Mus musculus: one gene and its partners. The protein of the gene in region 1 interacts with the protein of each later gene in a pairwise test. Links are inferred from orthologs where the notes say so. Each region holds a gene or a part of one and is shown on either strand. Other genes may lie near its edges.

Region 1 (3,750 bases):
GAAGCCATACAATATCTCTTAATTCATAGTGCCTGTACGACACCCTCTTCAGTGTATGTACTGAATGAAGCATAAGGTATGCTTCACAGAAAGATATCTGAAAAAAAAATAGCTTAGGCCAGTGGCTCTTAACCCCCCTGGGGGAATGATCTTCACGCAGGGGTTGTTTAAGACCATCGGAAAACAGATATTTACATTGCCTTCATAACAGTAGTAAAATTACAGCTATGAAGTAGCAACATAATAATTTTATGGTTGGGGGTCACCACGATATGGGGAACTGTATTAAAGGGTCTCAGCATTAGAAAGGTTAGGCTGTTATTGGTCTTAGATAATGGGCACCCCGTAGCTACTTCTCTCCACAGTCATGGCAACACAACCACAGGTAGACCCTATGCTTCTGCCATTATCCTCTGCTGAAGATCACTGTCCTTCGTTCCTGCTACAGAGGAAGCCACAGGGATATGTCTGCTTCAGTTCAGCTGGCCATCTCCAGAGTCCACAGGAGGGTACCTTCAAACCTTAGGGCTTATGGGCTGTAGATAGCAGTCGTTTCTATAATATGGGGGTCTTGTGAGTTTGCAAATCAATTTGCCACTCAGACCCTTGGGACCCCAAAGCTCTGACCTGTGAGAAATCTTAATAAGGCGGGCACTCCTGGCTAGATGCAGTCCTTTGACTGAGGTTTGCCTCTTGACCTGGTGCTGATCCCTGACCGCTGTGGACTCTTGGGCAACATCTACTGTGACTCTAACCGACTGTATCCTCTTTACCCCTCCCCTCTTTTTCCTCCCCGAATTCCACCCTTCCACTTTCTCCCTCTCCTCCTTTCTGCTTCCCTCCTTCTTTTCTCCCTTTCCCATCAATTCCTCTTCTCCTTTCCACCTCTCCACCCTTCTCTCCTCCTCCCTCCCCACTTTCCCTTTCTTCCCTCTCTGTCCACTTCCATGCCGTCGATATCCTCTAACTTCCCTTCTCCATAGTCTGGTCCTCCTTCTATTCCTTCCCCTCTGGGAAGAGGCGGTCCATCCAGCACTCGGTGCTCGGCTAGGCGGCGGATCGACGCGCTCGGCGCTCGCGGCGTGCGGAAGTGCGGCCCTAGTGCTGGCTGCGGCGGCCTGGAACCGGTTGGCTGGGACCTGACACCGCCTGCAAGCTGCAGGTGAGTGTCGCGTCCTGGGTGAGGACGCCCCGGGTCCGGAGTGGAATTCCGCGGTGGCACGGGACCGTCGGGGCTGGGCGACCTGGGGAGGCGCGGTGAGGGACCCGGGGCGCGGGGCTGAGTGTGGGAGCCGCGGGCCGAGCCTTCCCCACCCGCCTCCGCGCAGGCCGCCGGGCTGGACCCGGAGGAGCGGCTGGTGTGCAGGGTCTGCTTGGAATCTGTTTAAGTCCCCCGCGCTAACGTGGACGGGAAGCTTGAATGGTTTCCTTTACTACTCTGGGAGCAGCAAGTGCGGGTTCAGCCACACCTCCATTCGGCCATTTGAATGCCTTACACTAAAAACACTAATGGCAACTGGTTATCTCTCTACTAACTTTGTTTATAAAGCTTAGCTTGTGATGGCCCAGGCTTGGTAACAGATTCCCCCAATGGCAAGGAACTGAAAGTCAAAACAAGAATGATCTAAGTGTGAACAATTTGTGATTCGAAAGGTGACAGAAAGACGCTGATGTGTGCTTGCCTCTTACATGTTCTCTTTTGTTTGACACAGTAGACAGTATTTTTAAGCAGGGGAACCTCTGTTTGTTGGAAACAATTTTTGGAGTTATTAGAAAGTAGTCCTTTTTTTTTCTTTTTCAATTATTTAATTTACTGTACCAGACATTTTGAACTATTACCTTCCAAAAGGTGATACCTTGAAGATTACATTCAAAACATTTGTAAAGGCTGTATTCTAGTATGGGGCTTCTTCAACTTTTGCCACCAAAAATTTATAAAGAATTTCCATGGTTTTATATGTAAGTTTATAAAATAGGTAGACAATCTATGTATTCACTATCTGTAAATCACAAAGCTTTTTATTTTAGGACAATTTTTGTATACATCAAACTTACCATTTATTAAAGATGAAAGCATAGAGTTGGATAACTCGGTTCTTTTCACATACATAGTTAAGTCTTGGTTTAATATTTGTAACTACGGGACACTGAGCATCTTCAGGGCTTTCCAGAGCTGATTGATTATTTTAATTTTCTAATCATCGGTAGGAAGAGCAGTTCTACATACAAATACATAGTACACAGTGGTAGAAGGACAGTTAGAAACATTTTGGAGATTGTTGCAAATTTGTCCTTACTCCCAAGCCGAATCCATTGGTGATCTTTTAGAACTTCAAATCAGCAACGTAAAAACCAGTTTTTCAGATTAAAATTCGGACACAACACGATTTAAAGACCCAATCACTTGGTGATTACATGCTGAAGAATGCCAGTAGGGAAATGTGAATAGTCTTTGTTTTCTGTAATAAAACCATTTTTCTCCTTTAAGAACAGAACATTTTGTTTGTGTGTGTGTATATACGTATATACATATGCATAATATATACATATATACACATACATATATACATATATGAATACACACATATATGTATACACACATATATGTATGTGTGTATATATGTATATATTTGTTTGTATGTATGTATGTATATATGTAGTGTGTTAGTTTTTTCAGTGTTGTAACCAAGTACCTGCTAAGCAGTTTAAGGGAAGAAGGTCTCACTCCAGTTTATAGATTGGAGTTATATAGCCTATGCTAGTGAGGCTGCCTCATAGTGGCAGGACTGTGCCCTGGGACCCCTCAGGAACAGGAAGCAGATAGAAGTCAGGATGTGGGGCTGGGCTCTGAAACCTCAAGTCCCCACCCCCTAGTGACTCACTTTCACAACAAGGCTCTTCATCTGTAAGCTTTCATAACTGCCTAAAACAGTGTTAGGAGGTTCTGAGCCTATAGGAGATATTTTCTATTCAAATCGTAACATACAGTGAAAACAACTGCTATTTGTAACATATAGTACTTTGACGCTGAGTTGTAGGGTTTGGGTTGAATACTCTTGGGTACTTCATGACATGGCAACGTGCACAGAGAGAAAGTTCAGAACCAAGGCTGGGATGAAGTTGGATTGAGTACTGCTGGTAACACCTTTGATTCACTATGGATTTCATTTTTTAATTCATTTTTGATCCCATGTGTTTAGAAGACTTTCATTTCGCTTTTTCTTTTTTTTCCTCTCTCTGCATTCAGTTCCACAACCCTGTATAACCTACAGGATTGCCACTCACAGTTTAAGAATCTGTATTCTGGTAAAAGACTTGGTACCAAATAGAATCTCTAAGTGTATAGCTACAGCAGGATCTTACCACGTAGGAAACACTAGGGATAAACTTGTCTCTCAGTTATCTTTTCACACAGGCTGTGGTTTTACTCTTCTTTCTTTGAGAGGGTCTCACTATTGATTGATCACTATTCAGGTTGATCTTTTGTTTTTTTTTTTTTTTTTAAAGATTTATTTATTTATTATATGTAAGTACACTGTAGCTGTCTTCAGACACACCAGAAGAGGGAGTCAGATCTCATTACGGATGGTTGTGAGCCACCATGTGGTTGCTGGGATTTGAACTCAGGACCTTTTGGAAGAGCAGTCGGGTGCTCTTACCTGTTGAGCCATCTCACCAGCCCTCAGGTTGATCTGAACTCTTTGACTGAAGTGATCCTCATACCACAGTTTCCTCAGTGCTGAGACACAT
Region 2 (3,750 bases), on another chromosome or scaffold:
GCTACACAGAGAAACCCTGTCTCGAAAAACAAAACAACAACAACAACAAAAAATTCATCCTATGTGCCTAGTCCTGCAGTGACTTGATGTCACAGGGTGGGTTGGTATCCAAGAAGGTCTCCACCCCACCCCTTCTCAGAAGAGAAGGGAAGCAGAGAATGAGGGAGAGGCTGGGAAGGAGGGTGAGAATTGGAAGGAGGGGTAGGCTAAGATCCACATGCAAAGTAAATAAATAAATGGAAAAAAAACAGCAAAGAAAAAAAGAAGAAAGAAAACCATCCTGGTAGAGTATGTTATCCTAACTTCGCAATCACCTTTTCTAGTCCTACCTCATTGCGAACTCCTTCAGTATAAAAAAATTGAATGGCTTTTTTTAATTTTTATTTTTTAACCTGGAAATCAAAATTTGCAGCACTCAATCCCTGCCAGGGATGCGGCCTAAATGAATCACTTGTCTTATAGCTCGAACTCTCGGCATCATTTATGTTTCTCACACTGAAACAAGCAAGCATCACCTTTAAAACAAAGATTCTATTTCAGTATCTGATGTGAGGTGGCATGGGTGAAGTTTCTAAAAAAACACCCAAGAAGAAGGTCTGTGCAGTCAGGGTAGAGTATGAAGTGGGTAAATGACCAAAGCTGTTTATGGGAATTAAGTGTCCAGAACTTAAGGGTACTAGTGACATCTATCCCAGAGAATCTGACTTAACTCACTAAAGTTCTTCCAAGAATCTAGTTAGCAGGGTTTTACATATGCACAGGAGAGAACATTTAATGCGCTCTCAAATGAGTTGCTACAAATATTAGAATGGGTACGTCTACAAAAAGGAAACATCACCATTATCAACTCCTCAAATCAGCCTATGCTAACAGTTCTCAACATTCCTAATGCTGCAACCTTTTAATACCTTTCCTCATGTTGCAGTGGGTCCCAACTATTAAATTATTTAATTTCTACTTTAAAACTGTAATTTTGCTACTGTTATCAATTGTAATGCAAATATCTGATATATTGGATATCTGCTATATGACCACTATGAAGGAAGGGGTCGTTTGACCCGCAGGTTGAGAATCACTGGCCTATGTGCTTGCAAGCCCCGCCCCTGTCTTTTCCACGCCCACAGTCCGCCTCTGCCCCATCCATCAAAGCGCTGTTCCGCCTCCTCCAAGTCCATTGGCCAATCTGTTTTTCCTCTACTGTCTCCATTTCCGGCTCCACAGGGTCAACTTCCGGTGCAGAGAGACACGTGACCGGATACGGGAAGTGGCGGGTTCTGGCCGCTGCTTTTCCCTGTTCAATGAAAAGTGCTTCAAAGCTGCTATTGCTGCCGGCGCCCTTCCTGAGTCCGTCTTGGAGCACCAACCTCGGCCGGCCGGCTGGCCTCGCGGTAAGCTTCCGGCCGGGGACCTGCGGTCTTGGAGGTGGTAGCCTAAGTGGAGGCAGTGTTGCATCCGCGCCGGGTCGGCCACTCCCCAGTGACCCGGCCCACCCACCCTGCTCCACTTCGGGGCTGCAGAACCCGGGCTGCGTCCTTCCTTAGCCGGTGCTGTCCGGGGCTCTGGGAAAAGGCGGAGCCGGGAGGCAGCCAAGTCTCTGTCCACAGTTCCGCCCATCCGGGACAGATTTCATTTTTGTCCTACTAGCGTGGCCTGGAAGAGAAAGACGTGACCTGGGCTTCTGCTGGTCCGAATCAATATAACATGTCCTTATAAATCTTCTAAGTGCATTGCCCAGCCTCTGAACAGTTTTTTTTTCTGGATGACATGTCTCCGAGTTGAGATGTCACTGCAGTACATGGGCCCAACCCACTAAGGCACTAGCATGGACACACAGTGTAACGATGGCCCTATTAAGCTGAAGGAAGTATGTATGTACACAATGAACCGAGGTTAGCTGCCTCTGTAACGGGCAGCCTTGAGGTTTTAGAAGGCGAAGATCTAAAGAGAACCCAGAATATGGGCGTGGTTTTTAGACCTGGGAAATAGTTGTGAAGGCCACTATTAATAATACTGGCATAATGTAAAGTTCAGTATAAACACTGGAGAATTCATCTCTAGATCCAAAGAAGACTGACTATCACAATGCTACGTCAACCCGTTCATGTCTTAAAGATTCTCCATTATACCCCAGAGTGCTGCCTGGCACTTAGTGAATAGCAATATTTATATTAGCAATATAATATAGCAATATAGTAGCAATGCTTATGTCTAATTCCTTCATGAGTTATGACCAGCCCTCTGCTGTTTTTACCGTTTACCATGTACTATGGTGAATATTGGCCATTGCTAATGGTTCTTTTGGCCAGCTTTTACTATTGCAATCAAGCAGGTTACGCCAAGAGCTTGTTAGTGAGTACCCAACACACAAACCTGTGATAGAGCACCCCTCCTCCTCCTACTACTCAAGAGATGGCTGTGGAGATCTAGGAGATGACACTCATGTCCCCATTAGATAGCAAGCATTTGCCTCGTAAATACAGTAAGGGCTCTATACATTTACATGAAAAGAGCCGTGTGGATTGAGACTTTCATTGAGTCAACTAAATACAAATGGAGAAATGTAGGTTTGAATAAGGAAAAGATAGTGGTATGCCCTGCATGGGAAAGTGCTTAAGCAAAGAAAGAACAGAGTGTTCTGAGTGCAAGGCATGTCTTGAGAAAGCTGGGTTGCTGTTGACCAGGTGTGTGGTAGAATGAGAACTGCTTTAAAGTTATTTACTAGTTTTTCAGGGAACTTGTAGAAGCCTAAAGAAAAAAGAAAGAGATAACGGGTGCTATTACTTAAAGGCAGTAAGTCTTGGTGGCTGTGTTGGCAGCAAGTTGTGGGGGAGAGGGATAGGATATGTAGATGAAGAAGTTACAGGATATGCTCACAGATTTCACGTTGGCATGGAGGAAGCAATCAATTACAGTAGAGTTTGAATCTGGGTATTCTCTTACAGATGCGAAAGTTGGAAAGAGGTAACTCTGAGGGAGCGATCCCTGGTCTGTTATTGAGTGGGACAGTATTCCCTAAAATGTTTACTGAGTGTGCACTGTGTGCCTCTCGGCAAATGCTAGGAATATAAAGATGGATAAGATAAGGTTCTTGCCAACAGAGAACTACTTTTCGGAGTAGTAGAGGCTAGACGGCGCTAGCTATAAAACACAGGTTGGAAGAGCTGTAGTCAGCAGAGGTAAGATGGGGACAGAAGAGGAGTTTTTCTAGGAGAGAAGGCTTCAAAGAAGAGGCAGTGTGTTATCAGAATCCTTGAGGGCAAGTTGGAATTTGCAGTGACAAGAATTTGAGAAAAAGGGAAACAGTGAACAAAGCCCAGAGACAGTTTCCATAGCGTAAGATGGAGTAGAGCTTTAATGTCACATCCGGGCCCTAGGACATATTAAGGGGCATTGTACTGGCTGGGTTTGGGTGTCATCTTGACACAGGCTGGAGTTATCACAGAGAAAGGAGCTTCAGTTGGGGAAATGCCTCCGTGAGATCCAGCTGTAAGGCATTTTCTCAATTAGTGATCAAGGATGGGAGGGCCCATTGTGGGTGGTGCCATCCCTGGGCTGGTAGTCTTGGGTTCTATAAGAAGGTAAGCTAAGCAAGCCAGTAAGTAACATCCCTCCATGGCCTCTGCATCAGCTCCTGCTTCCGGACTTGCTTGAGTTCCAGTCCTGACTTCCTTTCGTGATCAACAGCAATTTGGAAGTATAAGCTGAATAAACCCTTTCCTCCCCAACTTGCTTCTTTGTCTGATGTTTGTG
Region 3 (3,750 bases), on another chromosome or scaffold:
CTCAGCACCCATGTGGTGTACATAGATTCAGTGCAGGTAAAACACCATGCACATAGCCAGGCATGGTGTTGCATGCCTTCAATGCCAGTACTAGGAGGCAGAGACAGGCAGATCTTTATGAGTCTGAGGCCAGCCTGGTCTACAAAGTGAATTCCAGGACAGCCAGGGCAGTCACACAGAGAAACCCTGTCTCACACAAAAAACAAAAAACAATAAAATAAGACCACCCCTCCCCTCCCACCACCACCCCCCAAAAAGAGAAAGAAACCCCCATGCACATAAAATAAATCTTTTTTTTTAAGAGCCCTGGCAGTTTTTCTTTCTTTTAAATTTGCGTGTGCAGAGGGAGGAAGGTTGAGAGAGAGAGAGAGAGAGAGAGAGAGAAGAGGGAGTGCACATCAGAGGACAACTTGAGGGAGCCAGTTTTCTCTTCCCATTATGTGGTTCCCAGGGGTCTACAGGGGTCCAAGTCTGTTGAGGCTGTGGGGCTTGTCTCTGCGGGTGTCTTTACCCCTCCAGCCACCTGCTAGCCCAGGGAGACTTGGCTTCTCCTTATGCTGTCAGTGGGAGGACTAGGTCTGTTAGTTGCTGGTATGGAACCATTTAAACAAAGCACAAAAGCCTCTGATATAATATACAAGTATCCTAGTTTAGAATTATCAGCAAGAATAATTACACAGTGCGGGCTACGGTTATCACTGTTTCCCTCCTTAAAGATCAGAAACAAACGTTGAATTATTAATTACCATACAGTGAAAAGCACCAGTTCGTACGGGTGGGTGGGGTATCACACAACTGTGGCAGTGAGAAGTGGCTAATGTTCAGCTGGGAAAATCAACCCTAGTCGAAAACGCGTAAGAAAATAAGCTCCTGAGCGTAGGAGGGTGATGAAGGGCAGCCTGCAGCTTGTAGTTCTTGCCGCTGGCTATAGCTAGGGTTAGGGTTCCTGACCTGGCCTGTGACCTAGGTCAAATTAATAGCTGTAATTCCTTTACTAGTAGGGTGTCATGGGCGAAGCTAGAGGCGATGCCACCTGGAGTTTCCAGTCCCTGACCAAGGGTCTTCAAAGCTGCTTATCACCTTCCACACTAGGGCGCAGGCCACACTTGGCCACACAGTCCTCCTCATTGGCTTCTATCAGCTCAGTCTTTCTTGGCTTTTTCACAACTCTGGCCTGGCTCCGGCTTCCCCAGGAGTGCACCCGCCCACGCCCCGGCGTCCCCAGACCAGTTCCCAAGCTCTGCCACTGCAGCAGCGGTCACGTGCGCGAGTCCGGCTGGGGAGCCGAAAGGAAGGGGGAATGGGTGGGGCCGTTCCGTGGGTGCCACGCCCACACACTCAATGTGTTTTCTCATTGGTGAAGGTTTGGAAGTACCTCTTCGGATTGGTCAATAGGCGTGGCCTCGGAGAACGGAAGGGAGGGCTGCCTCTGGAGAGGACAGGGTTGCCGGGCGGACAGCGGGAACGCGCTCCGGGGGGTGGGGACGCGCGAGCTCACCACTCCTCAATGACAAATCGACTGGGGACAGCTGGGGTCCGGCCCCAGGACGGGGCGGGGCGCTCGTGAGAGCGGCGATTCTGGTTGTGCGCATAGCCAGAGCGGCGGTGGGACGGCTCCCCCAGGTAAGGATGCTGTGCCCCGCAGGGGACCGCAGACGAGGGGTGCGCCCTAGGATAGGGAAGTGAGTACGCTCTCCGCGCGATTGCAGGCCTCCTAGTTCCACGTTGGGAGGGAGGGACACGTCTCATGAAGGACAACGCCCCGGACTGCGCCCCGCTTGGCTTGAAAGGTGTCTTTTGGGAAAGCCGGAGAGACTCCCAGCCGGATCTGGGGGTGCTGAGGACATGGGGGAGGCGCCCCAGTTTCTCTTCCCTTGCTGCCTGTCCTTCCCTTTTTCCACAAATGGCCACTTCCTGCCTTTTCGGGCCTCCCTCCTGAGTTGGTCCACTTCCTCCGTCCCTTTCAGATCCATAAAATGTTGCCCAAACTTCTTTCTTAAAGGTAGGAACTTGTACTTTGGGTGACCTGGGAGCTGGGTTCAAGAAGTTTGTAGGGATTTGTTGGTTGTGAATTACTTTTTGATTCTGTCTTCCAGTTGCCTTTCAGAGTGTGACTAGCATCAAAGGTGGTTTTTAGAAGCACCGTGGCTTGAAGGGTTTTCCTGACCCGGTTCTCTGAGCCAAGTCAGCTCGTGGCTCAGACTTGCTTGTGGCCCAGACTTGAGTGTCCCCAGAGGGCGCGGCACCCACAGCAGGGTCCTTTTTCCTAGAGTTCATTTCCAAGTGAATCCTGGAATCTAGGGATTGGTGTTACCAGGGTGTTCTGGAAGAGGGTCTGGAATGGACTGATAGTTCTTACCCTCACTTGCCTTCAATCCCTGAAGAACAGAGATCCTCTCGCTCTGGCTCTGCTTTCATTTCCTAACCACCTTTCTTAAGTTTGGGTTTATTGAATGATCAAGGCTTATCCTCAGAGGGGCAGGGAGTGTGCTTTGGATGTGCCAAGTGAAGATAGTTTTAATCAGAGCAAGAATCTTACATGTTAAGTCTCAGAACATGTCAAAGTGGCGCCGCTTAAGCCTGGATTGAGGTGGTGAAATTGTGAGAGCCATAAAGGGAGGTGCTGAATATTGAGAAGGAGGTGTGAGCCAAGGTTGATCCTGGTTTTGGAACTTTGTGTGTATGAGACATGATCTTTTGTAGCGCAGGCTGGCCTGGAACTTGATAGATAGCTAGAGTGACCTTGAACATGTGACGTTCCTGCCTCTACCCCTTGAGTGTTGTGATAACTGTATTCTACCATGCCTGGTCCATGCAGTGGTGGGGCTGGAACTCTGGGCTTCCTATATGCCCAAGAACTCTACCAGCAGAGCCAAATCCCCAGCCTGGTTCTGGAATTTTCTTAGTGCCGTGGTCTAGAGGAGGCCCTTTGTCTTCTCTGAGCTCTGAAAGAGTTGGCTGCCCACCCCCACTGTCAGCTTCCAATCCAGTAGGCAGTGTTTAAGGTGTGGGAGTGGGCATGGTTCTAGGATTCCATGAAATGCCCCCCTGCTGAAGCTGTGATGTGTGTGTGTGTGTGCATGAGTGTATGAGTATATATGTGTATGTGTATGCATTCTTGTAATTTTATTTACATGTGACTATGCAAATATCTGTATATATGTTTGTATTTTTTAGATTTATTTTTATGTGTGCATATGTGTGGGACAGGAACCCTTGGAAGCCAGAAGAGGGCGTGGCTGGGATTCCCTGGAGCTGGAGTTACAAACTGTTGTGAGCTGCCCTGCATGGGCCCTGGGAACCAAGCAGGCCTCTGGAGGAGTAGCAGATGCTCCTAATTGCTGAGCCGTCTCCCCAGCCCCCACCAGGTTACTTATGGTGTGTGTGTGTGTGTGTGTGTGTGTGTGTGTGTGTGTGTGTGCGCGCGTGCGCGCGCGCACGCACGCATGCTATGCACACATGTGGCAGACAGAGGATGCTTTGTAGAGTTTTTCTTTTCCTTCCTCTTTTAATTTTCAGAACCAAACTGGTTGTCAGGCTTGTGTGGCAAGCCCCTCTCTCCACTAAGCACTCTCTTGGCGTGGGAGCTTTTCTCTTTCTTTTTAAGTGGGGTCTTAAGTCTGTCCCACTCACAGGAAACTAACGTTAGGGGAAACCAGCTGCGGTGTGGGCCCTGTAGGTGCTCTGTTGATTCTGACCTCCTCAGAGTCTTTTTATTTTATTTTTTTAAGATTTATTTATTTATTTCAT

Evidence for each region.
Region 2: the proteins of Exoc2 (region 1) and Exoc1 interact in binary tests that used the Homo sapiens proteins (3 or more experiments, as listed by UniProt). The link is inferred for Mus musculus from reciprocal best matches to the Homo sapiens genes EXOC2 and EXOC1.
Region 3: the proteins of Exoc2 (region 1) and Ralb interact in a two-hybrid assay, tested with the Homo sapiens proteins (2 studies listed by BioGRID). The link is inferred for Mus musculus from reciprocal best matches to the Homo sapiens genes EXOC2 and RALB.

What each region holds. Positions count from the first base shown.
Region 1 is NC_000079.6:30,971,408-30,975,157, reverse strand, and holds the start of Exoc2 (exocyst complex component 2), read left to right. Parts: upstream 1-1,110; 5' UTR 1,111-1,162; intron 1,163-3,750. UniProt on the Homo sapiens protein: Component of the exocyst complex involved in the docking of exocytic vesicles with fusion sites on the plasma membrane.
Region 2 is NC_000071.6:76,528,075-76,531,824, forward strand, and holds the start of Exoc1 (exocyst complex component 1), read left to right. Parts: upstream 1-1,236; 5' UTR 1,237-1,388; intron 1,389-3,750.
Region 3 is NC_000067.6:119,502,450-119,506,199, reverse strand, and holds the start of Ralb (ras-related protein Ral-B), read left to right. Parts: upstream 1-1,417; 5' UTR 1,418-1,623; intron 1,624-1,939; exon of another isoform or gene 1,940-2,002; intron 2,003-3,750. UniProt on the Homo sapiens protein: Multifunctional GTPase involved in a variety of cellular processes including gene expression, cell migration, cell proliferation, oncogenic transformation and membrane trafficking.